4 linked regions of the Drosophila melanogaster genome follow. Changing the gene in region 1 together with any one later gene gives a genetic interaction. Each region holds a gene or a part of one and is shown in the gene's direction. Other genes may lie near its edges. The genes, in order: Ret, Sin3A, bon and stg.

Evidence for each region.
Region 2: of Ret (region 1) and Sin3A, changing one enhances a phenotype caused by changing the other (phenotypic enhancement), as found in Drosophila melanogaster (2 studies listed by BioGRID).
Region 3: of Ret (region 1) and bon, changing one enhances a phenotype caused by changing the other (phenotypic enhancement), as found in Drosophila melanogaster (one study listed by BioGRID).
Region 4: of Ret (region 1) and stg, changing one enhances a phenotype caused by changing the other (phenotypic enhancement), as found in Drosophila melanogaster (one study listed by BioGRID).

Annotation. Positions count from the first base shown.
Region 1 is NT_033779.5:21,194,935-21,200,797, reverse strand, and holds the start of Ret (Ret oncogene), read left to right. Parts: upstream 1-2,035; 5' UTR 2,036-2,145; intron 2,146-5,301; 5' UTR 5,302-5,668; coding exon 5,669-5,735; intron 5,736-5,863. Other genes in the region: CG31624 (uncharacterized protein), read left to right, coding at 861-1,397.
Region 2 is NT_033778.4:12,585,831-12,591,852, reverse strand, and holds the start of Sin3A (Sin3A), read left to right. Parts: upstream 1-2,700; 5' UTR 2,701-3,137; intron 3,138-5,780; 5' UTR 5,781-6,022.
Region 3 is NT_033777.3:20,591,154-20,597,199, forward strand, and holds the start of bon (bonus), read left to right. Parts: upstream 1-1,985; 5' UTR 1,986-2,690; coding exon 2,691-2,891; intron 2,892-6,046. Other genes in the region: Pus1 (pseudouridine synthase 1), read right to left, coding at 1-458, 523-799, 855-1,340, 1,404-1,443.
Region 4 is NT_033777.3:29,251,020-29,258,202, reverse strand, and holds stg (string), read left to right. Parts: upstream 1-2,402; 5' UTR 2,403-3,274; coding exon 3,275-3,330; intron 3,331-4,241; coding exon 4,242-5,625; 3' UTR 5,626-6,060; downstream 6,061-7,183. Other genes in the region: CG45544 (uncharacterized protein), read right to left, coding at 1,306-1,539. UniProt on the Drosophila melanogaster protein: This protein functions as a dosage-dependent inducer in mitotic control. It is a tyrosine protein phosphatase required for progression of the cell cycle. It may directly dephosphorylate Cdk1 and activate the Cdk1 activity.

The DNA of each region.
Region 1 (5,863 bases):
TAGCAATTTAGTGCGGTTTTAGGGCGTGGCAAAAAGTTATGGAATTATGAAGAAATAATTTTCAAAATTTCTAAAATGTTAGCGTAGCAGTTATGGGCGGTTTTACGGCGTTAGAGTAGACGTGGCAAAAAGTTTTTTTGCAAATTGATAAAAAATGAAATGTAAAAAAATATCAAGACTTTTTTAAAAGTGTGGGAGTGGCCGTTTTTTGCGGCTTGTGGGCGTGGCAGCATGGGCCAACAAACTTGCGCTGCATCGTTGTCTCTAGAATTTGTATGCTGAATCTCATACGAACAGACGGGCATGGCTAGATCGACTCGGCAATTGATCCTGATCAAGAATATATATACTTTGTATGTTCGGAAACGCTTCCTTCTGCCTGTTACATACTTTTTAACGAATCTAGTATACCCTTATTATACCCGTTATTGCTTGTTGTTGTGCTCCCATTTTGTGTGAAACATCTAATAGAAAGTAAAGTAACAACGGTGGCCCTGTGACAACTGTTTTGATATATGAGAACAGTACAATTACGAACTAGGAAAAACACACTGCGAAAAGAGGAAGTAGTGAAACAGGCGACAAACCCAGTAAGAAATACACCCAATCTTAAAATAAGTACAGAATTATAATTTGTCTCATTAATATTTGCGTTGCCCAGTGTTTATCGTTCCATAGCCATCTTCCGTTGTTTCTTTCAATAAAATAATCGATAGCTGCCCTGTTTTGTACATTTTGTATTTTAACCTCAATTTACGATATATACGAGCAATTCAATCAAAAAAGAGTAATTGAACAATCCCTTGGTAATGCGCATTAAAAATCATTTTTTATTAGCAGTTACCAATCGAGAAGCCAAAATGACTGAGAGCATTGTGTGTCACAAGTGCCAGGAGGCCATCACCAAGCGTATGATCACCGCCCTGGGCAAGACGTGGCACCCGGAGCACTTCCTGTGCCACCACTGCGATGAGCAGATCCTGGATGCCACCTTCAATGTTCAGAGCGGAGAACCAGTGTGCAACAAGTGCTTCGTGGAGCGGTACACCTACACCTGTGCCGGCTGCAAGAAGCCGATCCTTGAAAAAACCATCTGCGCCATGGGGGAGAGGTGGCACGAAGCTTGCTTTTGCTGCGGCGGTGCCTGCAAGAAGCCGCTCGCCAGTCAAACGTTCTATGAGCGCGACGGCAAGCCCTATTGCAAACAGGATTACGAGAACCTCTTTGCTGCCAGGTGCGCCAAGTGCGAGAAGCCTATAACGGACTCAGCGGTGCTCGCCATGAACGTGAAGTGGCATCGCAATTGCTTCCAGTGCAACAAATGCGAGAATCCTATAACCTCGCAGACTTTTACCATCGACGGGGACAAGCCCGTGTGCCCCGCCTGCAATTGCTAACATCGTCCCGGACCCATGATCTTACTCCAAATTGTTTAGTTCCTTTCTTACACTAATGTTGAAATAGTTCCCGATGCTTATGAAGCCTAGAGGCATGAAAGAAATCAGACCCACACATTTGACCACACTTAACATTTCGCACACGCACACACTAAATAAAAATAAATATGTAAAGTCTCTGTATTGGGGTGGCCAGGTAAACCCTTTTATCGTTAAGATTTGCCTAAGACCAACAACACCCACAACAACATACTGATTACTGCGAGATAAACTAGAACGCAAGCCCTTTCCCAATTTTGAGTAAATATTTTCCCCAAACCCAGTGAAAAGAAGCTGTCGAGGAAAGTGTGCTTGATATGAGATCATGTTTCCAAGGGTAAATATGCTACCCAGCCTTGGAACATGCACATCTGATTATCTCATAAACGCCATTAGTCGGTGGAATTATGTTGTTTGGAGGAGGGGTATCCCAGCAGTGCAGCGGAAAATGGAAAACTCTGCGAGGGTGTGCTGACGTGCCGTCATCGTGGAAAATTCATACATTCGGGTAAAATACACGAAGCGGCTTCGTTAGTCAAGTTTTCGTTACGATTTTGTGGGCTCTGCGGCTTTGGAGTTGCCGGCTGCCGGTTTCAGTTTCATTTTTCAAACGGAGCTCGTGCAAAGCGGTTCGGTTGGTCTTTAAGCGATTTTCCACAAACCAAAAAGTATTTCCGCGGAAAAGCTGCCCGAAAACGGGAAAAGAGAGGTGGCTAATTAATTACACTGTTGAAACTGTCCCATAAATAATTGCCGTTTGAGTCGAACAATTAAGGAGTCTGTAAAAAGCTGCAGCAGCTGCAAGCCTCCATAAATCGTGTCTATCAAAATCAAGATCGTGGTTTACGTATGTTGCGAACTTTGAAATTTATTTGCGATCTATGGCCAGATTTTCCAGATTCGGATTTTCCAAATGCAGCCAATATCCTCACGTCTAGTGGCACTGACAACTCAATACAGTATATCGTGTAGATTGGCATCAGATAATTGTGATTTAGCCGTGCGTGTTGAAGTGGAATTAGTTTACTCAATTTGCAACTTCAAGTAATTGCAGTTTATTGAGGAAAATATTTTAATATATTAAAGCTGAAGTGGCGGGATAACAGATTAGCTATAAATATATATATATATACATATATGTATGTATGCAAAGACACATCTTTGATAGTAAAACACTAAGTGTGGGTGGTCTGAGCGTTTATTCTAATTGATAATTATTTTAATTAATACAAAAGATATCTAATCTTGTACTTCTACATTTTAAATGCCTGTTAAGGTCTTTCGTGCTTGCGTTTGCTCAGGTGGAGGCAGAGCTTATAAAAATGTTAATCTTACAAATTATAAAATGTGGGATTAATTGGAAAATGTTTTATTTTGATTACCTAGGTGACAGAAAATTAATTGTTAGCATATGCAAATGTCAGTCGCGATGTGAATTTGCATTTTACGAATGTGTCTACAAGCGATCAGGTCTAAAAACTCAATCAATGGGATCAATTAGGGTTTGTAATACTTGCTATTGCTGACTGTGTTGGATCAAAAAGAACATCACGCACACCTTTAAAGCGGCTGTCATTCCAGAACCTTTTTTCGTGGAAATGGAATCCAAGCCAGGCTCTAAGCTTCCAGGCCAAATTTATTGACGCTACTCTGGCATTCTTTTTCAATTCGTAGATGTCTGTGAACGAAAAAATAACTTACAAGCCGATGGCACTGGAAAAGGTCCAAGCCTAAGTCAATAATATCATCGAATTATTCTATTTGGTTTTTATTCACAGCTCATTATACCAATACTCATATATAAAATACCATTTAAAGTTAGGGGAAAGATTGAAAAAGTAGCAATAATTCGATGAAACCAAATGAAGCAACATTTTTTTTTATTGTGTAAGCCATAATATTTTTAAACACGACACATTAAAAAATTTTTTTTTACATTTCTGTATTCATTAAATCTTTGCAATGCAAAATGTTCTTCATTATGATAAAGCAATGCAAAAGGCAAACATTTGATTAAAATTAAGCTCCCAGTACGCATTCTTAGAATCTTTTTTTGTCGCAGTGCAGTTAAAAAACAGTCGGGGCAGTCACTGGCACTGAAGAACCTCCACAGTCGTACTTTGACTCTTGCGGTCGTCGGATGTTTGTAAGTTTGCCGGCTTCGCATAAGTTTTATATGGAAATTGCCATTTTTGGCGTTTCGAGCAACAGGACGGCTATAGACGCACCTTAAAAGTCCACCCGGATCGGCTGGGTCGCGCTTAACCTTTAATGGGGAAACGCCATGGCCCGAGCCTTTGAGAGCCCCTCCAGTTGGCAACCGGTTGGCTTCCAGTGAATGTCTCTGAGTTTCTGTGTGTGTCTGCTGCAAAAGCCTCTTTGTGTCAAGTCGTATGTTATTAGCATCCGCCAACTGAGCTCCCAGTGTGTCAAAAGATTTGAACTTTAAAGTGCTCAGGTGCTGAAGAGGCCCACAGACGAAAAGTAGACAGCAGACACTTGGACTGCCAGTCAGTCAGTCAGTCAGTCAGTTAGTCGGTCTCTCGGTCTTTGAATACACTGCGAATAAAACTGTGATAATCGCACATTTGGCCATGCTATCGGAAACTATCTTTAGAAAATGTGCTTTATTTCAAGCAAATGTGATTGCAATGATTAAGAAAAACGGATAGAAGAGTGTTGTACTAAGTACCAAAATACCGAAATTACTTAAAGCAAATCCCATTTACCAATAAATTGAAATGATCCAAATTCAATGAGTTTCAGCTTCAGTTTACACAGTTTTTCCCATTCGACTTTTCGGCCAGTGTTTGTGAATTGCTTATCACGTTGTTTGACTTTGAGCTCGTTTGAATTATGCGTGCTATCTTCCATTGCCATTCCCCTGGCCAGCGGGTAGTTCACGCCGCAATTGTCTCTTTCGGGTTCTTTTTATCACACCTGCCGTGCACCGCTGGATACCACACATATGCCGTCCATCCATCCGCACTGGAGCGATGTGGAGTGGAGTACCTAGAGTACTCTGTGGGGTATGGAGTAGGTAGAGTACTCGCACGTCCACAAACTTTTTTTGCCTTTTCCTTGACACGTCCTCGTTGAGCGTTGCTTGGTACTTGCATAGAATTAGTTATCGTAACTAGTTCTATTGTTTTTCGTATTCAAAATTCATCAGGGTTTTCGGCAGTTGGTTAGGAAGTTTAGAAATCTTAATAAATTAGCATTACCACTGTATACAAAACTCTGGTAATTTTAAGCCCGAAACTGTCTCAAAAACCATTCAACTTTTTGACTTAAGGCAGCCAGAGCAAATTGTGAAGTAAACCCACATTGTTTGCCCAAATAATTTAATTAAATTATTCCACTTAAAAACCGATTGAGCAAACTGAAAGCCATTCGACATGGAGTGAATCGGCAAAAAGAACAATTAATAATGATAAGAGCAACAAATAGCACGCACCCGAGGCGCTCGACTTTTAAAATTTAGAATTAGAAAAATATAAAACAAAAAACAGAAAGCAACGCCAATAAGCCTCTCACCTGGCGCTGGCCAAAAATAGCAACCGAAGACCATTTAATAACAATATCAATATGCGAAACAAATTCAAAGCTCATTTTGAATTGCAATAATCAGAATTCGTAGACCGCGCGGCTCTTGAGAATTTTGTGCGGAATTAATTGAGTGATAAATTAGATTGCTTAAATGACAAACGGGAGCGTGGGCGCCGCTATCAATAAAAATAATTAGCAGTCATACCCTTTCAGTGGGTACATTGATGTTTACGAAAACTCATTTTGAAATAAAAAAAATTAATTTTCCAAATTGTTATTTTGGTAAACCTAAACCTCTGTTACTTGTTTTCAAAAGCTTACGTTCTGCACCAAAAACGAAAAACTATTAATGTTCGTGGTCTAAATATCCGCAAAACTCATTGTTATTTTTTCATATTTTCTGCTCTGGTTTTCGCACATTAATTGATAAATGCTACTTATCAATTTGTGGCAAAAGTAATTAAGCTTGTGACGGAATCGAACGTGGCTAATTGGATACAGCATTGGAAAAGAATACCATCACAGAGAAAAAAAACACGGAACATAAAAAATCAAACAAATAGCGACAATTTGTAGAGAAAACCCATTAAAAGCGACGTTCACTATGTGTAAATATGTAATGTGCGTCTACGAGTGAGCGAAAATTGCCGACTGATAACTGACTTTTTGAAAAAGTAACCACGATGGAGTCAACTACTATTGTTTTTGTGACTCTGCTCACAATTATAACCCAACGTAAACACTGTGCGGGTAAGTGAGCTACAAACAATTTAAGGATGGCAAAAATGTTAAGCTTTATTACTCAATGTGGTCGATTGGGTGATTTATCGATCCATTTCAATTTGAATTTAGGCAGCTTGGGAAACAAGAATAGTCGA
Region 2 (6,022 bases), on another chromosome or scaffold:
GCAGTCACGCACACCACGAAGGCAATAAAGCAGCTATGTGTGTGGCTGTCTGAAAGAGGCAGAGCGCGTTTGCCGCGCTCACCTTTTGTTATTGTTGCGTTCAATCGCTCTAGAACTGCCAACTTGTTAGGATGTTGAAATTTTATGCCAGAATAACTTTGTACGCAAAACCATTCTTTTTTCATAGTTATTTCTTGTTTTGTATAAAAAAATGGAAAATTTATTTAATGTGAAAAAGGTTAATAAAAATTATGCAGTCAAAAATAATACAAAAAATACCGCATCAATAAATATTGAAATAATTTTTTTAAACTCAAATTTCGCTTTTAAAATCAGTTGGCAGCTCAATGTACCCTTTTGGTGCTCGCGTATGTGTGATTGTGCACAAGGTGAGCGAGACAGCAGTTTCAGCCTTCAATTTGCGGGTTTACGTTGATTCTAATTAAATAATTCGTTGAAATCGGGCTCACTGCTTCTGTGAGGTCCAATTGTAATGCACACACACAAACACGTTCTCAGTGCTTTCCTCAAATTTTCTTTGTGAAGCGCCTCAAGTTTCGACTGGCTTTTAAGTCTGGTTTGGTTTTGGCTGTTTGAAAACTTGAAAAACAAGTTACTTCTGAACTCAAACTCCCCAGTTTTGGCAGTCTCTCCACACTTCTCTCGATCTTTCTCCCGAGAAAAAAAAAACACTTGCCGCGTCGCCAACCAATTGTTTGCAATTCGCAATTGTATTTTAGCCAGAGGCCAACGAACAAGTCTCTTGAACTTGATGGTCGGAACGAAGTTGAAGTGTATTAGACGTTGAACACTTTTACACATATTTAGTTGTAACTTTTTCAAGCCTTCATCATTATATTATTAAAACTTGAGTGTTAAACTGTATGTTTAAATATACTATGTTATCATTTCAATAAGTATTGAATTAGTAAACAACACTGAAGCCGTTGTGTTCAATCGTGTAAGCCTATTCCCAAATTTATAATCGTTATTTTAATTTAAAAACCTTTTAATTGCTCTTAATTTTGATCCAACACGCATTTTGGCTCACCGGTAAATTTGTGTATAATCTTTTACATAAAGAAGAGGGTTCTCTAATCCTTAAATGGATTTATAGTTTTGATGAGAATTAATACTAAAGTTAAATATTTTATAGTAAAGTTTTCCATTTACTGTGTTGTCAATTTTTTAGGACAAACAAACAATAAATAACAAAAAGTTTTTATCACATTAAATATCATGTGACTCAAGAGAGTTAAAAACATCTGATAATTTGCAGAACACGTACGAATATCAAACTAATTAGTTTTTTTTATAGAAATGGGTCCGTGTGACAGGAACCTCTTTACCACATTTCAGATATCACTTGATCAGCGTCAGTTAATATTTCCTAGTGCCGCATTCCATGACAGATCTGAAATTAGCACAGGAATAATTAGAACATGCTAGACCACCTGGCTTTATTATCAATAGAAAAAAGCATCAATAATACCCAATGGGAGGGCAAACAAACCTTCCTGCGGCGCCTGGAAGTCGGAGAGTTTGGTTTGTGCCATTTTTTTGTTTGGTCCAGGGACTTTGGTGCACCTCGGACATGCGCTGCACCCAGTAGCTAGTTAGTTGCATGTGAACTTTGAACTTTCGAGCTGGAAAGTGGAAGGCGGATTTGCATTTCCTATCGCTGCAGGTGTCTCACAAAGAGAGAGGCTCTCTCGTATCCTCCGCCCCCGCTGCATTTTTTTCATTGCGCAATGAGCGAGACGAATCGATAACTGCAAGGTTTCCATGTTTTAGCAGCTCAACTTTTGCGCGTATACAGATTTTTTGTCTGTATTATTTTATTTTGTGAAGGAGCTGGCCGCCGAATTCAGTTCGATTCGAGATGGGAACATGTGTTTTTATGGTTCCGCCATTGTCATGGTGAGATGCACTTGCTTTTTTTTGTCTTCATATTTTTACTTCCTCTCTCCGCACGCACGCGTCTGTGTGTGAGTGCGCTGGCGAGTGAGGTGGTGGAGGAGTACATGAGTGTGTAAAGTGTAGCCGTGGCAGAGTTGTAGCTCGCTAGTGGTCCGTTTGGTTTCTGATTTTCGGTTTCGTCGATTTCACATATGTACTGCAATGGTCGGCTAAAACGCTCTGCCGACGTCGCTATCTGCTGTATACTCGTTGCGCTTGTGTGGGTGCGCTGCTCTCACACCCGCTCTCTCTCTTTGGCTCAAACAGGGTGTCTTACCCAGATGTTCTGATCATCGTTTCCACCACATGGCTGGGTGACAATGGTACACCCTGTTTTCTAAACAACTTGTTTTCTCTCTTCCCAGCGTTGTTGTTGGTCCTCGCACTTACGTAAGCCTCACGTATTTCGTTTCTTATCCAAATTCTAAGCGCCATTTTGCGACTATTTGCATGCGGTACCGCTCACCGCTAATAAAAATAACCACTGATTGTGATTATTTGCTAATAGGTAATGAATGGTATATAAACTATTTTTGCCGTCAGCTACTGATGTGTTTTCAACGCGCTCGACGGAGGATTTTAGTTGTTGCGCCGTTGAGTTGCCACCCTGTTTTAGCTGCGGCAGCAGAATAAAATGAATTCCAAAGCAACACTGCGCGCGCGCTCTCACGCTCTCCGTTTTACACTCATTTCGCTCTCTCTGCTGACTCCAAATGACTGGCCGTCGCGTTTCGCTGTTTTAATCGAAAATGTTTGCGGCGGCGTTGAGATGTACGAAAACGTTCTCTCGCCAAAAATTTGTGAATAGAATAGCAGTAGCAATCTATCGAGAAGAAAATGTCTTAAATTCGAGCCGTGTGATCTAGTTAAGGTCTTAGAGCCAAGTGCAAATTGATTGAAATAAGCGTTAAACTTAAACTGAACTGGAGAACGAAGCCCCAGCTACTGAAAGAAAAGAAAACGGTGAAAATAAAGATTTCGGTGTGCCAGTGAGTGCGAATATAGTAGTTGCATGTGCAAAATACTGCGTAAAACGTGAAAGTTTCCAATAACACCACAAAACCAACGGCAGTTTTGTAGTAAATATACATACGCGCCCCGTACATATATACATACATTTCGAATATACATACACACAGCCGAATATCAACCGACGAAGCTAACTGCTTATTGCTGATGTAAGTGTAATATGGGCGGTGGGCGGTTGTGGGGGGCGTGAAAATTGCAGAGTAGCATTATCCTTCAAGTGCACTTGGAGTGCGGATTCGAGTTCAAACAATATTTTCGTTCGTGCCACTGAAAACTTGTGAAAATACAACATTTTTAGGTTAGGTCAATTTCAATTGGTTTATATACACACGCACGCACAAACTCACACACACACAAACAACAATGGCATAGCGAATACATATAGAAGGCGCACAGACAAAAAGTCGTCGACGGGGACGTGGTTGTTGTTTGTGTTGCTGCTGCTGCTGCCTCTACAGTTTCTGCTCTCCTCACACACAGTTGAACACAGTTGTGGAGAGGAGAGCCACACTCATACATACGCTTTGAACCATTGCTTTTGGTTCGCTTATGAACTGACTGTATTTTTTCAACGTAGTGTCGTTTTATTTTCGTTGTTGATTCGTTCTTTGCTCAGTTCGTGCGCTTATCTTGACTTTTGCTTTGATGCGCCATTCGCATGTACTGGCGAGAGCAGCCTAGTGTGAGTGTGCATTTAAATGGCTCCCCAATGAGAGCATCATTTTGTGGCCCTCTTTTTGTTCAGATCTTCCTTTTGCTCCTCTTCTTCATGCTCCCCAGCCCATCCGTCGTTTGTTGTTCTTGCTCCGCCTGTTTTTTTTCATTCGGTTTTGAATTTACACAAAACGTTTGCCGTTGCTTCTTCATGCTGAAATAGTATATATGTATGTGAATATATTGTACATATTTCTCTACACATCCATATGTTTTATTTGCAAAATTTATTAATAGCGCAGCGCCACTCCGCGGCTGTGTTAGTGCGCCAGAGTGAGAAAGTAACAGTAAAAAACTAAATATTAATTCGCGTTGATTCCGATTCGTATTGCAGTTGTTCAAAACCGAGTGCTAGTGATATTTGCAAAAAATTTAACATATTTTCCGCTGGCTGCCTTTTGTGTTGCGTATTCTGCTGTGCTGTGTATACACATAACAAAACAGATAAGATAACATTATACGTGTGCACGTAATAGAGCGGGCTGAATCAAAAAAAAAAAAAAAGAAAAAATGGAGGGAAAATTTGCCCACATGTCTCCCCAAAGCACACACACGCACACAACGCCCCAATTTGGAGCCTCTCTCGTCAAACACTCACACACACCAGCAAGCGAGTAAATGTGTTTGGTATGCACTAATGGCGGATCCAAAAATACAATAACAACAAAGACAGTTGGGAGAGCTCAAAAGAGCGAACTTGTTTTACCTTCATTTATTAAAGGATAGTTGGTGGTGGCAGAGACAGGAGAGAGAACGAGGGCTAAAGCTTTTGTGCGGCTGTACTGTGCTCCAATATTTGTTTACAAATGCTAAAAGGGGGCAGCTGTTGGTTCGATGGGGTGTTTCAATTAGTTGGAGCAGGATGATCCTCTAGGCGGTTTCCATTCACCTAATATTTGCTCGCGGTCTTTGGTTTGCGCAGCGTTGCGCTCTCTTCATTTTTGCCGCTCTCTCTCTCGAATGCCCGCCAAATGCTTGCTGTGTCCGTGTGTGAGTTTGGCCCCAAACGGGTGAAATACCTTTTTGAAAAAAAAAAAATCATCCATATACTGCGCCTCAACAACAAATGCGGCTCTCTCTGGTTCTCTCTGTGGCTGCACCACCACCACCGTATCGCCACCACCACCTTTGCATTGTTGCGTTTGCTGCTGCTGTTACCTCTGACTCTTCTTCTTCTTATTCTTGTAAGTTGTAGATACAGAACATGTACCAGCAGCTCTCACACACCACCCGCCCGCCCCCTTGGCGGTATCGATATATAAATATTTTCTATGTGTGCGTCTGAATTCTATGCAAGCCGATGTCGTGCATGGGGCATTTGGCACCTTCCACATTCACAAATACTGATATGTACACACATACACACACACTCGGAGGTGTACACAGAAAGCTCGCTTAGGAAGTTTTTACTGTACCGCTGAAAGCAATAACAAAGCGCGCGCCCAATTCCGGTTGAACGTACACACACTAAAGTGAATTACGCGCTCCTCCTTATGCCTTGCACTCACTCTCCTCCAAGACTCAACTTCCACTCCACGATCTCCTTCCCGTCTATATGTATCAATCTCTGGTTGCTGTTGTTGTTATTGGTCACAGCTCCACTGCTTCATTCCATTCCTATTGTCCCTCATCTCACTCTTCTCCCCCGAATCCAGAACACCCAATACAGAGACACCGTTCTCCACTCTGTAGTTTTTGTGATACGGCTAAAAGAAGAATTCCCCCGTGGCTTTTTAGTTCACCTTTTTTCTTGTTGAAATATGCAATCGTTCCGATATCTGTGAAGATATAGACCGAATTGATCAATCAGCTGTGCTATACTAGCTAACATGTTTTGGGAAAATTAGCAAGACTCGTGGTCTTTAATATATGGAAAAGTATATTTGGCATATTTGTCCTTTCATTTCAGTGTCAGTGAATAAATTCTAGTATTAATGTGTAAGATTGTTCCAGTAATGCAGAATTTAATGATGACTAACTTCATTAAAAATAGACCCAAACCTAATTCTTGGGGGTTTTTATACATTTAATGTCGACATTATTGTATGACCGTTTCCCTTCTCTTGCTTTGCTTGCAGTGATATTCAGAAAGAACTCCAAACGCTACGTGGCAGAGGCGAATCACCGGCGCAGCAACACCAGCAGCAGATAACCAGCCGTCAGTCCAATTTCTCTACCTTAGAACTCGAGCGCATTTGCCGCTTGCGGGGCGACCAAATGCATAGACAACATATGTCGCATTCACGAGCAGTCCAAGATCAAGAGTTGCGACCCCGACCGTTTGTTGCATATTACATACGCTCATAGAGGGCGGCCACTC
Region 3 (6,046 bases), on another chromosome or scaffold:
CCGTCCGCGTGTCGTACGAGTGATAATGCAATGTTCCTATCCAGTCGAGCATGTTACGCTGCTCGGCTTCCGTCTTATAGATCTGGCTAAAGATCTCCCTCTCGATAAACTCCTGGACTTGCGCCTCCTGCGCCTGCCATGTCAGCGGATTGTGGATGCCGTCCTTGCCGTAGCGATCGTTGTAGCGCTCGTAGTGCACTGTGTCCAGCACGAGGCCCAGTCCAGGGGCCATCGGCAGGTCCAGACGCTCCTCCGTCAGTGCCCGCTCTAAAGTGGCCGCCGTCGTGTTCCCCCTTACAATGGCAATGGCTAGACCCACCATCTTGCGAATCTGGTGCAGCATAAAGCTCTGACCCTTAACCTTAAGTGTGACAAATTCGATGTCCTGGGGACTCCGGAATGGCTCGCTGCTCGTAAAGGACATGATGAAGCGCTTGGACGAAGGATCCAGAAAGCTTCTACAAGGGTAGTAAACAAAATATTAGTTGGAGCAGAAATGAAGTATAAACCTGGCTTATTTACTTCTTGCTGGTGAAGTTGTGGAAGTTCTTCGTGCCCTCGTAGAGCTTCAGGGTTTCTTTAACCTTCTGCAGCAGCTCTGGTGAAATCCGGAAGGTGTCGTGCACGTCGTCGACCTTTTCCTCAAACGGAGCAAAGGCCACGGTGGGCAGTGTGTAGGTGTAGGTCCGAGCATTGCATTGATCCTTGGCATTGAAGCCCTTAGTCACGCGTTCTACGCCAAACAGACGGATCTGTTGCGGCAGATCGGCATTGAAGGCCTCCAGGTCCAGCTCCTCAGCTGCAGGAAGGAATAGGTTTAGTATTGTCTTGTAAAATAGAATAAGTAAACTAACGCAGCTTGACGGAGCACACCTGGCGGGCGGCGGAGACGCCCTTGTCGGTCCTGGCCGCTCTTTGGAAACAGGAAATCTGAATCTGCTCAAAGCTGTCCTCTGTAATCCACTTGTGCTTTAGCATGGCTTTGAAGAGCTCCTCCTCGATGGTCTGCATGCCGGGATTGCGCTGCATACCATAGTAGTTCGCACCGCAGTAGCTAAGCAGGATGGCGCTCTTCTTGCGCTTGATCCGGTCGGCGGGATCGAACGGCGCTCGCTTCACGCCGTTGGCGGCATCCTTCTCGTCCTGCTCCTTCCAATCGACCCATTTCTTGCGTTTAAGTGTTCTCTTGATGCGGTTGGCGTCCTTCACGGCTTCGCCCTCCAGTTCTTTGGCCTCTTTCCTGGCTTCCTTCTCCACCTCCAGTTTATCTAGAGCCTCTGACATCGCTGCGGCGAAGGATTTGTGGCGATTCCAGGGATTGCAAAGGGTTTTCAGGCGAACTATTGTAAGAAAATTAATTATTATAAATTCTCGAATTGGAGGTGTGATCACTAATAATTAACCTGCCTTGGTGTAGTCGTTTAAAAGTCGTCTTAAAAACATTAAGTAAACAATTCTGGATTTAAAGTGGAGGAATTCACACACGTGTGGTTGTGCTTCTTCTTCTTGCTCTGTTACGGATCAGCTGTTTTATTTAACAGCTCTGTTTGGCTAATACAAATATGTTTTTTTCGAAAATCGCGTTCTTTGAATTAGCTCAATAATTAAGTTGAGTTTCCGAAATGCTACTTTTGATTTACTTAAGTTTTAAATTAGCTGTGTGGAGAAAAATGTTCAAAGCTTTACGTAACGTTATGACTTAACAGAACGAAGACGTTACAAGTTTATTTTAAAAATTATGTTATATTTTACTATAACCTTTTAATACCAGGCTAAGTTATTAGTTTTAAATTGTAAATAAATGGCATCTTGACCATGTATTACAACATTAATATGATTTTTTACGAAATGAACGGCGAATTCAATTGTGGTATTGCCAGATCGCGTGTTTAGTGTGACCTCAGCTGCTTACGTTTCCACGGCCGTGCGTAACAGCCCTCGAAATGCCGTCGTACTGGCAACGCCGACATGAATTAATTGAATCCAAAATGGCTGAACATTTTTTGTACAGAAGAAGCGTCCAACGAGAGCAAACGCCGTGAGACCGTGTGTTTTCGCAGCGAATTACGCCAATAAAACCGCACTAAGAGCGCGCTCGCAGCGCGAATAAAGAATAGCAGCCGCGTATGGACGAAATGCGGCACGAATCGCTGGAAAAATCGACGGCCAGACCGAAAAATAGCAGCGAAATTCGAGCGAACGTCGTGTATAAGTAAAACGAAAGTTGTGTCGCTCTGTGCGAAAGAGAGAGGGAGAACCCAATATTTTTGCAAGCCAGAAGTCGAAGGTGAAATTAAAATGCATTAGCCACCCAATTGAAGAGGAGTCAACTACGAACAAAACTTTAAGAATCAGCGAAAAATCGTTTGTGAACATCCATACAAGCACAAATCGTTGTTTTTGCCTGCTCTCGTGTAGTTCCTGTGTATTGGTGCGCGCGCCCTGTGTGTGTTTGTGCGTGTGCGTGCGTGTAAGCATTGGAATGGATTAACTACCCAACTAATTCCAAAACAATAATACCGCAACATAATCGCAATAGTCATGCCGTTTCAAGGCGACAGCCTTTAGGGAAACATTCGGTCGGTCGGTCAGTCAACCAAAAATCAGTTGCTATAATTAGCACGCCCACGTTTTAATTTCAACGATCGCCAGCAACCGCCTACGCGGTTAAATCGCAGGACTTCGCCAACATGGATATGGATTTGGAGCAGCTAAAGAACGACTTCCTGCCGCTTATCGCCGGGATCAAGCAGGAGCAGCTGGATGCCGTGCCCACGGATGCCCTGCCCCAGATGAGCACACCAAACACGGCCAGCGGTGCGCCCACAACCTCGTCATTGAGCTCCTCTTCGCTGAGTCTGAGCAACCCCTGCGACAGTGCCGAGAAAAGGGTATGTTGCTAGTCCGTATCACGCGTTCGTTACCTATAAGCTAACGCCAAGTTGAGGTTAGCTAAAGCCGCCTAATCACACGTGCTCTTGCGGCTGATAACAAACAGCCGGCTCAATACACATATTCCCCTGCTCTGCGCAGTCTGCTCAGTGTAAACTTTTGTTTTGGTTGGATTTTGATGCGCTCGTGCTGCGTCCTCCTTATCAAGCGTTTCGAATCGAGTCTCGTGCAAAAAGCGTTTGTTATCTTTTTCCCAGGCCAAGGCAAACAAAGCAGCGTATTCACACAACCAAACAAACAGCGCGCAATGGCAAGTGTTGTTGTGTTTCACTTTCACGGCCCAGTCCGAGATCTTACAGTGAGAAAAACGGCGTGCACTTTGCTCTATTTTACAGTATATGTGTATATATAGTTTTCTATTATTTTAAAATTAATATGACTATGCAGTTTTAATCTTGGATATACCAGTTAAGATGTAAGAAATGTGATGTTATCGAACGTTGAATCAACTTTAAAATTAGTTCTAATATACAAATTTTTAAGTTGTTATATGAAAAAATGAAAAATAATATACCAACTTAATGCAAGAATTTAATTAAATTAAAAAAGGTACAAATTAAACATTAATTATTAGCTTACTGATTGAGAATTTTTTTTTTTACTGTGTAGTGAGTTAGGGTCTCGTGCCGATGGTTCTCGATTCCCCTATGAGTGCGAGCAAAACAAGCTGTTTCTAGACAGTCGCTACCTCGCTTTCACTTACGTGGAAGGGCTAAGTCAAGATGGTCTCCCTCTCTTGCAATTGCAGATCAGCTGCAACATGCAGCTGCCACTCTCCAGATGAGCGGCAATAGAGTGTGTGTGGTTGTGTGTGTGCTCTCTACTGTGTTTTGTTTGCTCTCCGTCGTGCTTGAGCTGCTCTTTAAGCTACAGTGGAACCCAAGTAGATCATCCTAGTGGAAAGCTTGAACATAATTGTCCTGAAAAATAAAAAAATACTATAATATTTTAACTACTTCAATCTAAAGAATTATTGAATTGCTTTTACACCTTTTTGTTTATTTTCATTGTATTAGTTACTTACTGTACAGCCAGATAACTTGCCTTAACTGAACTTCCAATATAATTTTGGGACATACAGAATATAACTACCTTATTTTCAACGTAAATTGGGCAATTTGAAAGTTTCATTTAACACTAACATTATGAATTAAAATCAACGGCTTGTGATTACAATAAAACAAAATTAATGTTTTTCACAAATGATAACCGCTTTAGATGACACTAATTGGTCACGATATTTTATTATGTGTGCTAAATAAAACAAACACGTTTTCATGTATGTAATTAAAAATTCGAGCTCTAACTTTCTATGCGGCATGTGATACTTCTAGTTACGGAAGCCTGACTGTATGAAAGACTCAAACTTCTCCTGCAACCGTGCAAATAAATGTTCGCCTAGAGTGGGCCTTTTGGAGTGGCCACTCTCTCTTGAACCCCAACCAGGGATTGGGAATGACATGCACTCATTCAATCCGTCCCTCAATCATGCAAACGGTTGTGTTTGCTGTGGTCGTTGGGGGCACTTAAGACCCCCAGACTCCATGCCCAGTCCCCCCCCCCCCCCCGCCTGAATCCCCTCCAGATCACTTAATGCCCATTTCTGATGCGGGCAAACTATCAAGTGGAAAGTACTTCGCCGAGGCAAGGTGTGGAGTTCAGAATGGATGATGATGGGGATTTCAAAGGAATAGCTTTTAGATTATTAATCCTGTTAAAGATTTTCATACATGCATGTACATAACTACAAAACAATCTGACTTAAGAAACTGCCAAGCACGGAATAGTTAAATAATTAATATGAAAAGAATTATCAAAGAATTATTTATGATCCAGTAAGAATTATGCGATCCTTTAGATTTCCTTTAGATTTGAATGCTAATTCTTCTCTTGACGGCATTTTTTTCCTTTTCATCGAGTAAATTATTCTAATTTATGCATGACTTCACAAAACTAACTGTACCTACTCATGAATACATGGAATACATGATGTCGTTAAGTAACTTTTATGGGCGAAAAACATAATAAGAATTTCTCAATAAAGAGAGAAGACTTAAAATTCACGGATAATTTTTTCCTATATATAGTAAACAATGATACCTCTGCTCATATTAAACTCAAATGATTATTAATTTGTTTTTAATTAAAATTAGCTTGAAAGGTTTTATACATTCATAAACACAAGGTCTGCTTTTGTGGAGACTTTCTTTTTTACCTTTATACTTCCGATTCGGTAAAACACTCAAAATCACTGAAGCTTAACTGAAAAGAGAAACCTATTCATTTGTAGCTCCTGTCAAAATGGCGGGTTTCGGCATTAAAAGTGACAGCTGATGGGGAGGTTGCCGCTGGCGGGCATCCATATGTCATCTCAAAAACACTGCACCTAAATGCATTTTCCTACCCTCCATGAGGCCATATTTAATACTCCCATAAATACGTATGTACGAACGCTTGTCGTACATACATATTCATGAAGTCATGTCTTTGTGTGTTACCCCATGCATGCGACAGGTTGTAATTAAATTGCTTGACATCGGAATAAATGAAAACCCAAAATCGTACGACGCCATTTTGTGTTAGATACCGACGAGACCCGAAACGAATTCTTAGAATCCGCCTTTAATGATGTACAATTAACTTTAATTTGATGAGAATATGCAAGCAAAGCAAAACGAGGAGAAGGCAAAGTGCCGATGGCCAGACGCCGGTGCTAGGAAACCCCAGCCCCCAAAAATAAAAGTCGTTAAATGCACAAAAAAGTAAAGTTTCTAATTAACTTGATTACCCTGAAATAAGGGCGGGTAGATCTTGGAAAATGACTCTCTTTTCACTTTACTCGAACTACCTGGCATTAATGCAGACATCGGGATTTTAAAATGCTGGGATTTTATGGCATCTATAGTCAACCATCCCCTTTGTGATCCGATTGAACGAATTTAGGATTAGAAATAATACTCTATACTCTAAACTAGGTAATTGTGTCAAAGCCAATATGTGCATTAAAGATTTTCTGATTTAGTACGCTCAATGTCAAAATAGATATTCAACATATTTTTGAAGTGAACAAGAGAGGTCGCTCTAGTCTATTCTC
Region 4 (7,183 bases), on another chromosome or scaffold:
CGTGTTCTGGAATTTGCGCGCGCACGTTGTGAACGCTCCTTCTATCCTTCCCCACCCCCTCCTACATTCCCCTTCCCCCATCGCACACACACACACAGCAGGACTAATTCGGCCTCCCTGCTGTTCATATCCTTCGCTCCTGGGCCCGATCAGCTGATCGAACATATGAGAGAGGGAACCGCTATCCCTGTCTAACTGTTTCTTCGTCCTGCATTCTAATCAGTATCTGTGTGCGCACCTCTTCTCTACTTCTCTTCCATTCGCACCTTATGTACCACGGGACTTCCCCTGTCCATACCATTGCCCCTGCGTTTTGTTAGGGGAAAGGGGAAGAGTAGGGGAAAGAAAATTGCATACAAGAAAATCTTGATATAAGTCGAAAGAATTGAGAAGATAATATATGCAATATACTAAGATAATTATATTGCTAAATAGTGTGCACTTACCAGTATGTACTATGCAGATTTATCTGAAATAAATTAATAATTAAATTATAAATAAATTGCATTTCAATAGCTTTTAGAGGGATGTTGAAAATTTGCGCTTTTTGTATCTCTCACCTAGACATCTGATCGCTGGCCCCTCTTTGCGCTTCCTTCTAATTGCATTGCATTGTCTACCACACACAAACACACGCGCGCGAAAACTGGGACCGCCCAGCCTTTAACCCATGCCTGCCCACCGCACCACCCTTAACCCTTTTGGCAGTGATTTGCGAAAAGCGCGCGCGCACAAAAGTATCTCAAACGCTTTTTTCGCACACTTTGCAGGCATTTTAATGCACAGACGACCGAGAAAAAAATAAAATAAGAGCCGATGCTCAAAGCTCACTTCTTGGAATTTCGATTTACAATTTAGCTCTTCACTTTTTGCTGGTCCTGTGATTTTTTTTGTTCGTTATGCTGTTTTTGAGGTCCCCCGCTATTGTTGTGCCCCATTCCCATTTCCATTCACATTGTTGCTGCAATTTCTTTCTCCGCAGCCTATTCTCATTCTTTATCAAATTTACCCACTCACACACGCACACACACGTGTGTGAGTGTGCTTTTGCATACGCTTTTGATTCCGCTTCCTCCGCTTTGCCCTTTTTCTGGAGCCCGGCGATATCACGGTGGTATTATCTGAAATCCATAATTGCGAGGCTATAATTGGAATGAATAAAAGCATAAAAACTGGATAAGAATTTGGTAAGTAAAAATGAAAATAGCAGAACAACTCGAGCTAGAAACTACTTTTAAATAGTAGTAGTAAGTTCACAGATTTACCTCTAGTATATGTATTTTGCCACACTGTGCGCTCGGATCGCTATGAATGAGATTGGTTCTGAGCTTTTTCCTTCCCTATGCGCTTTTTTAACTTGTTCAAAACCACTTTATGATTTCTGCGTCCTTCTCGTCGTTTTGTGCTGGTTGTTTTCCATAAAGATGATCCTCTCGGCTCTTCCTGCAGCAACAACAAAAGCTGGCCAAAGGAATTCAGCGGAATGAAACCGTAGCTCATTTGGTTGGTGGCTTCGGCTGTGGTTGGTCCCGAAATCATTTACTTTCGCCTGCTCTTCAAGCGGTGTGAATGATATGGCCTGGTTGCACTGGCCTGTCCTTCATTTGTTTGCCGCGAACCTTACAAAAACACACTCGAACTGCACAGCACAGCCCATGGGTGTTCGCAAACCCCCAACCCTCCTTAGTGAACCCCTCGGATCCTCCAGAATGACTCCCGCAGGGCATCGGCGCATATGTAACTCGATTTTTGCTTTAACTTTGCCGCGATTGCACACAAACGAGGGGCTACAGTGGAGCTTCGGCGTGGGCAACTAGTCTGAGCTTCACATTATCGATTATTGGTCATATCGCATGGTTGACATCATGATTTTCCACGTGTTTGCTACTGTTAGTAGTAGTTTATCTAGCTTAAGATCTGTGTTTGTACGGATTCTCATTAAAGACACACGGTCCATCGTGTAGAGTGCTACCTGTGAATGGATCTCTGTGGCTGGAAGCTTTGCTCATTTAACGACATTGGCGTCTACGTCTGCAGAACACAAAGGAGCCACGCCCCCTCCACGACCGCCCATCCCGCCGGTGCGGCGATCATATGACTGCGGCCACTACCTGCTGATATGTAGTTTTCAGGGAGGGGTTACAAGGGGGGACAGGGGGCAGCAGGAATGCGTGGATCTCACATTATTACCTGCAAACGACACAATCGATGCCGCCTTGAAATTCTGCTTAAAGATTCGCGCAGTTCTTCAGCGTTTCCTCTTCGCTTCTTGGGGCTCCACACTATTTTCACATGTGTTCGGTTCGGAGCCTCCTCGGCTCCACTTCGGCTCCAATTGTGGCGACTTCGGATCCCCTTCGGCGGTACGCGTCGCGGTATAAAAGCTCGCGCGCCAAAATCAGTGGCCTCCATAGAGCTGGCGACCACCAAGGCGCCAGATTCTCCTCGTTTCTCGGGACATTGGTATTCGGTGCGGGATTTTGCGATAGGGGAAGTGCAGGGGAAAGGATTCTACCTGTTGCCGGCACTCTTGTGCTCCACATGAGCAGAGATTTCCAAAACTGAGTCCATATGATCCTGATTCTCCCATTTTCCCAGTTTTCCTTTTCGCATCGCACATGGCTCTGGCCCCGTCCCCGTTATGTGTGTTGGTGTCGCTCGTTGCCCGTCTCCCTTCCTCTTCTATTGGCACTTCTGGGAAGGATAGGAAGGAAAGGATAGGATGGGAAGGCAAAGGAAAGGAGCTGAGAACTAAGAGCTAAAGAGCGAAGCAGAGAGAACAAAAAACGCGCGCCATCTCGCTCGCGCCCATTAGCTCATCAGCTGATCGTGATCGGCCGGGGTGCGGTTATAAAAACCAGCTGCTCGGCATATTCAGCACATTCGTTCTCAGTTCGTCGTCGAGTCAACAGCTCTTCTTGTTCAGCCTTTCGGTTCCTCGTTCGGTGAATTGAGATTGTGCGGTTCAAATTATTGAAGAAAAAGAAAAACCTCGCACAACCACACTCCGAAATACAAAACAAAAAATCATGCTCAAACGGACACATTAACAAAAAAAAAAAACAAAAAAACCTAAATTAACTAAAATGCAATACTAGCCAAAAACCAAGGACTACCATCTCAAATTCTAAAAACAAACTGTAAATGAGTGCAGAGTGACCAAGAACAAATTGTGTTTTAGCAATTTCTTCGGCTTCAGACTCGCCAGCGAAATCAAACATCTTCGGCTCTTCGAAGCAACCAACGCAACACATAACACAACAAAACCAACAAAATGCTGTGGGAAACTATTGTGGAGGAAAACAACTGCAGCATGGATTGCAATATCAGGTAATTATGCCGCCCAAGGATTAGCAACAGCAAACCCCTTTTGCACCAGGAATACCAGTTGAAAATACGCGATAAAAAGTGCAAGTTCAAGAGCAACAGCAACAACAGCAAAGCAAAAAAAAAATACAAAAAACAGAAATGTAAACGATGGGGCCAACAAAAGTAAGAGTTCTTTTTATCACGCTCGGCACGTTTGCTTTTTGCCCGATTTTTATTTTGGCGCTCAGCTGTTGTTTTGTTGCTCGCTTGCCGTTTTTCATTCATTAAACCGGCTTCCGCGAGGCTCCAAAAAAAAGCAGCAGCAAAAAATGCTTTTTGTCCGTCGTCCGTCAGTCAGTCATTTTTTTTTTTTCGATTTTTGTTCCTTTTTTCCTCCGTGTTCTTTGCGGTTCTTTGTGGCGTGTTTTTGTTGTATTATCGCTGCGCTTGCGTGACGTGTGACCCAAAAGCAAAAGTCAAGCTGAAAAGCAGATGCATGCGAAAAGCAAAAGGGAATTCCATTTGGAGAACCGCTAATGCTTAAGTAGAATCAAGAAGAAGAAGATAAGGCGGTACGCAACGGTTCCCTCGCAATTTTAGGGAATTGTAAAAATTATCAAAAAAAAAAAAAATGGTATCAATGATATCGTGTGCGCAAGTCGAATCCCAAAAATTCCAGTTTTCGAAGCTGCATTAAAGTAAATTTCTAGTTCAGCTCCCTCTTCACCCAATTACAACAACCCCTCTCTGTATTTTCTCGGGTATTTTTGTTGTTTTTACACCACCAACGCCACCACCACCACCAGTTTGTCAGTATTTTTAGCTGGGTTTAATGACCCGCTCTTGCGAGAGTTTAGGGAAGCAAAAGCAGCTCTCTTCCTCGATGCCGAACAGTTGACTAATCCTCCCCCTCTCTTTGTTTGCTCTTGCAGTAATAACACCAGCAGTTCGAGTAGCATCAACAAAATGAGTGGATCTCGTCGTGCTCGCCGTTCCCTGGAACTGATGAGCATGGACCAGGAGGAGCTGTCGTTCTACGACGACGACGTTGTGCCCCAGGATCAGCAGCGATCGGCCAGTCCGGAGCTGATGGGTCTGCTCTCGCCGGAGGGCTCGCCCCAGCGCTTCCAGATCGTCCGCCAGCCGAAAATTCTGCCAGCTATGGGAGTATCAAGTGATCACACGCCGGCGCGCAGCTTCCGCATCTTCAACAGCCTGTCCTCCACATGCTCCATGGAGTCCTCCATGGACGATGAGTACATGGAGCTCTTCGAGATGGAGTCGCAGAGCCAACAGACCGCCCTGGGCTTCCCCAGTGGCCTAAACTCGCTGATCAGCGGCCAGATCAAGGAGCAGCCTGCTGCCAAATCGCCAGCGGGTCTGTCCATGCGCCGCCCTTCGGTCAGAAGGTGCCTCAGCATGACGGAGAGCAACACCAACAGCACCACCACCCCACCACCAAAGACCCCAGAGACTGCCCGGGATTGCTTCAAGCGCCCGGAACCGCCAGCATCGGCCAACTGCTCGCCCATCCAGAGCAAACGCCATCGCTGCGCCGCCGTTGAGAAGGAGAACTGCCCCGCACCCAGCCCACTCAGCCAGGTCACGATTAGCCACCCCCCTCCACTGAGGAAGTGCATGTCCCTGAACGACGCCGAGATCATGTCCGCCCTGGCCCGCTCCGAGAACCGCAACGAGCCCGAGCTAATCGGCGACTTCAGCAAAGCCTATGCCCTGCCCCTGATGGAGGGTCGTCATCGGGATCTGAAGAGCATCTCCAGCGAAACAGTGGCTCGCCTGCTTAAGGGCGAGTTCAGCGATAAGGTGGCCAGCTACCGCATCATCGACTGCCGCTACCCCTACGAATTCGAGGGCGGCCACATCGAGGGAGCCAAGAACCTGTACACCACCGAGCAGATCCTCGATGAGTTCCTCACCGTCCAACAGACTGAGCTGCAGCAGCAGCAGAACGCCGAATCGGGACACAAGCGCAACATCATTATCTTCCACTGCGAATTCTCCTCGGAGCGTGGACCGAAAATGTCCCGCTTCCTGCGTAATCTGGATCGCGAGAGGAATACCAACGCCTATCCGGCGTTGCACTATCCCGAGATCTATCTGCTGCACAACGGCTACAAGGAGTTCTTCGAGTCGCACGTTGAGCTGTGCGAACCACATGCCTACCGCACCATGCTGGATCCCGCCTACAACGAGGCCTATCGCCACTTTCGCGCCAAGTCCAAGTCCTGGAACGGCGATGGCCTGGGCGGTGCCACCGGGCGGCTAAAGAAGTCGCGCTCGCGACTGATGCTGTAGGTTGTGGGATGATCGTGCAGTTCGTTATCTAAGTTTGGGTGTTATCGTATTGTATATATAGACGTATAGGGGTATTTATTTCATGCTGCTTTTAAGTTGATTTTTGTTGATTTTCATTTGTTAATCCGTAGACTAAGTTTCTCGCACACGACGCAGACACACACCCGACACTCGCATTCATGCAAAACAGACAATTTCATTTGGAATTTAACGCTTTTGTTTAGTTATTATTGTTTTTATGGTTTCGGCTTTAGTTCAATTATTTAAGCACTCTAGTTCAAATTTTAAAGATAACCAACGAACAAGCAAACGAAAAATGTGCATTATAATCTAAAAACGTGAGGAACCATGTCATTTAAATTTAAGAGGCCGATCCCGAAATCAGACCCCTTAATCATTTGTAGATGATAAGCAGAACAAAAAATGGCTAAAAACAAAAAAAAAAAAAGAAAACAAATATCACACAAAAACAAACACGCTCATTAATTTCATCCATAAAACTTTATTTATAAGATCTATCGTTTAAGAGTTGAAAGTTGTAAACTTCTGCTAGGTACAATTTACGCTTATTATTTGTTTATTTTTATGTAATCCGTAACCGAACAACAAGGCACCGAAACGCAAATGCAAACAAGAAAACAAATATTTTACCATGTAATGATTATTATTTAAGCAAAGCTTATTTTTGCATCAAAAAAGGCAATATTATTGAACAAAGACCATCAATTTTAAATATACATTAATACACGACGAAAAAGAACTGAAATTCCTGGAATTTTTATCATTCAAATGGCGCCAAATGCGCATTATGTGCGGGATTTCGGTACTCTATGGGTTTTCACAGAATTAACAACTTGAAATTGGCGCGCAAAGCGAGTAGTTGCACTTTGTAAATGTCAGAGGGCGCTGTGTCCGTAAAAAATTGAGTATAACAGCGGCGACTTTTTGGCAGACTGTTATACGAAAATTTGTATGTCACTTTATATTTCTTTAAATTAGAGATGGACACGTGATGCTTTTTTTTTTAAACCCACGCATACGATATACAAATACTCTTTTAAATTTGTTAACTTGTTCTATAAATTGAAGGCAAAGCCTAACACTTTCCGAAAATCGGCTTATGATAATCGAATTTCAGTAAATAAAGCAGATTATTTTCGTTTATAGCTTATGTTCCAATTCCCTTTCACACCCATTTCAATTTCTCCTTAAAACTATCAAATCTTTAATCCTCAAAAAAAGTGTGGATGAAAGCCAAACGAGGTTTGTGGCAATTAGCCAAAGGCAGGGCCCTAGCCGCAGTAATATTTCGAGTTACATGCCATTTTCCATGCCAAATTAACCCTCTGAAGACTGGCATGTAGTAAATATAATAAATTATAATTAGCAATTCAAATAATCAAAGTTAATTCGAACCAACAAGTAAATGTATAAATAAAACATTCAAAATTTGATAAATACTTTAATCGGTGACCTAGATATGAGGCTTTCCCCAAAGGGTTAACCCGCTAAAGCCCCTCCTGTGAGCCCGCATGCTGCGTTTGTCTGTCCGTCTGCA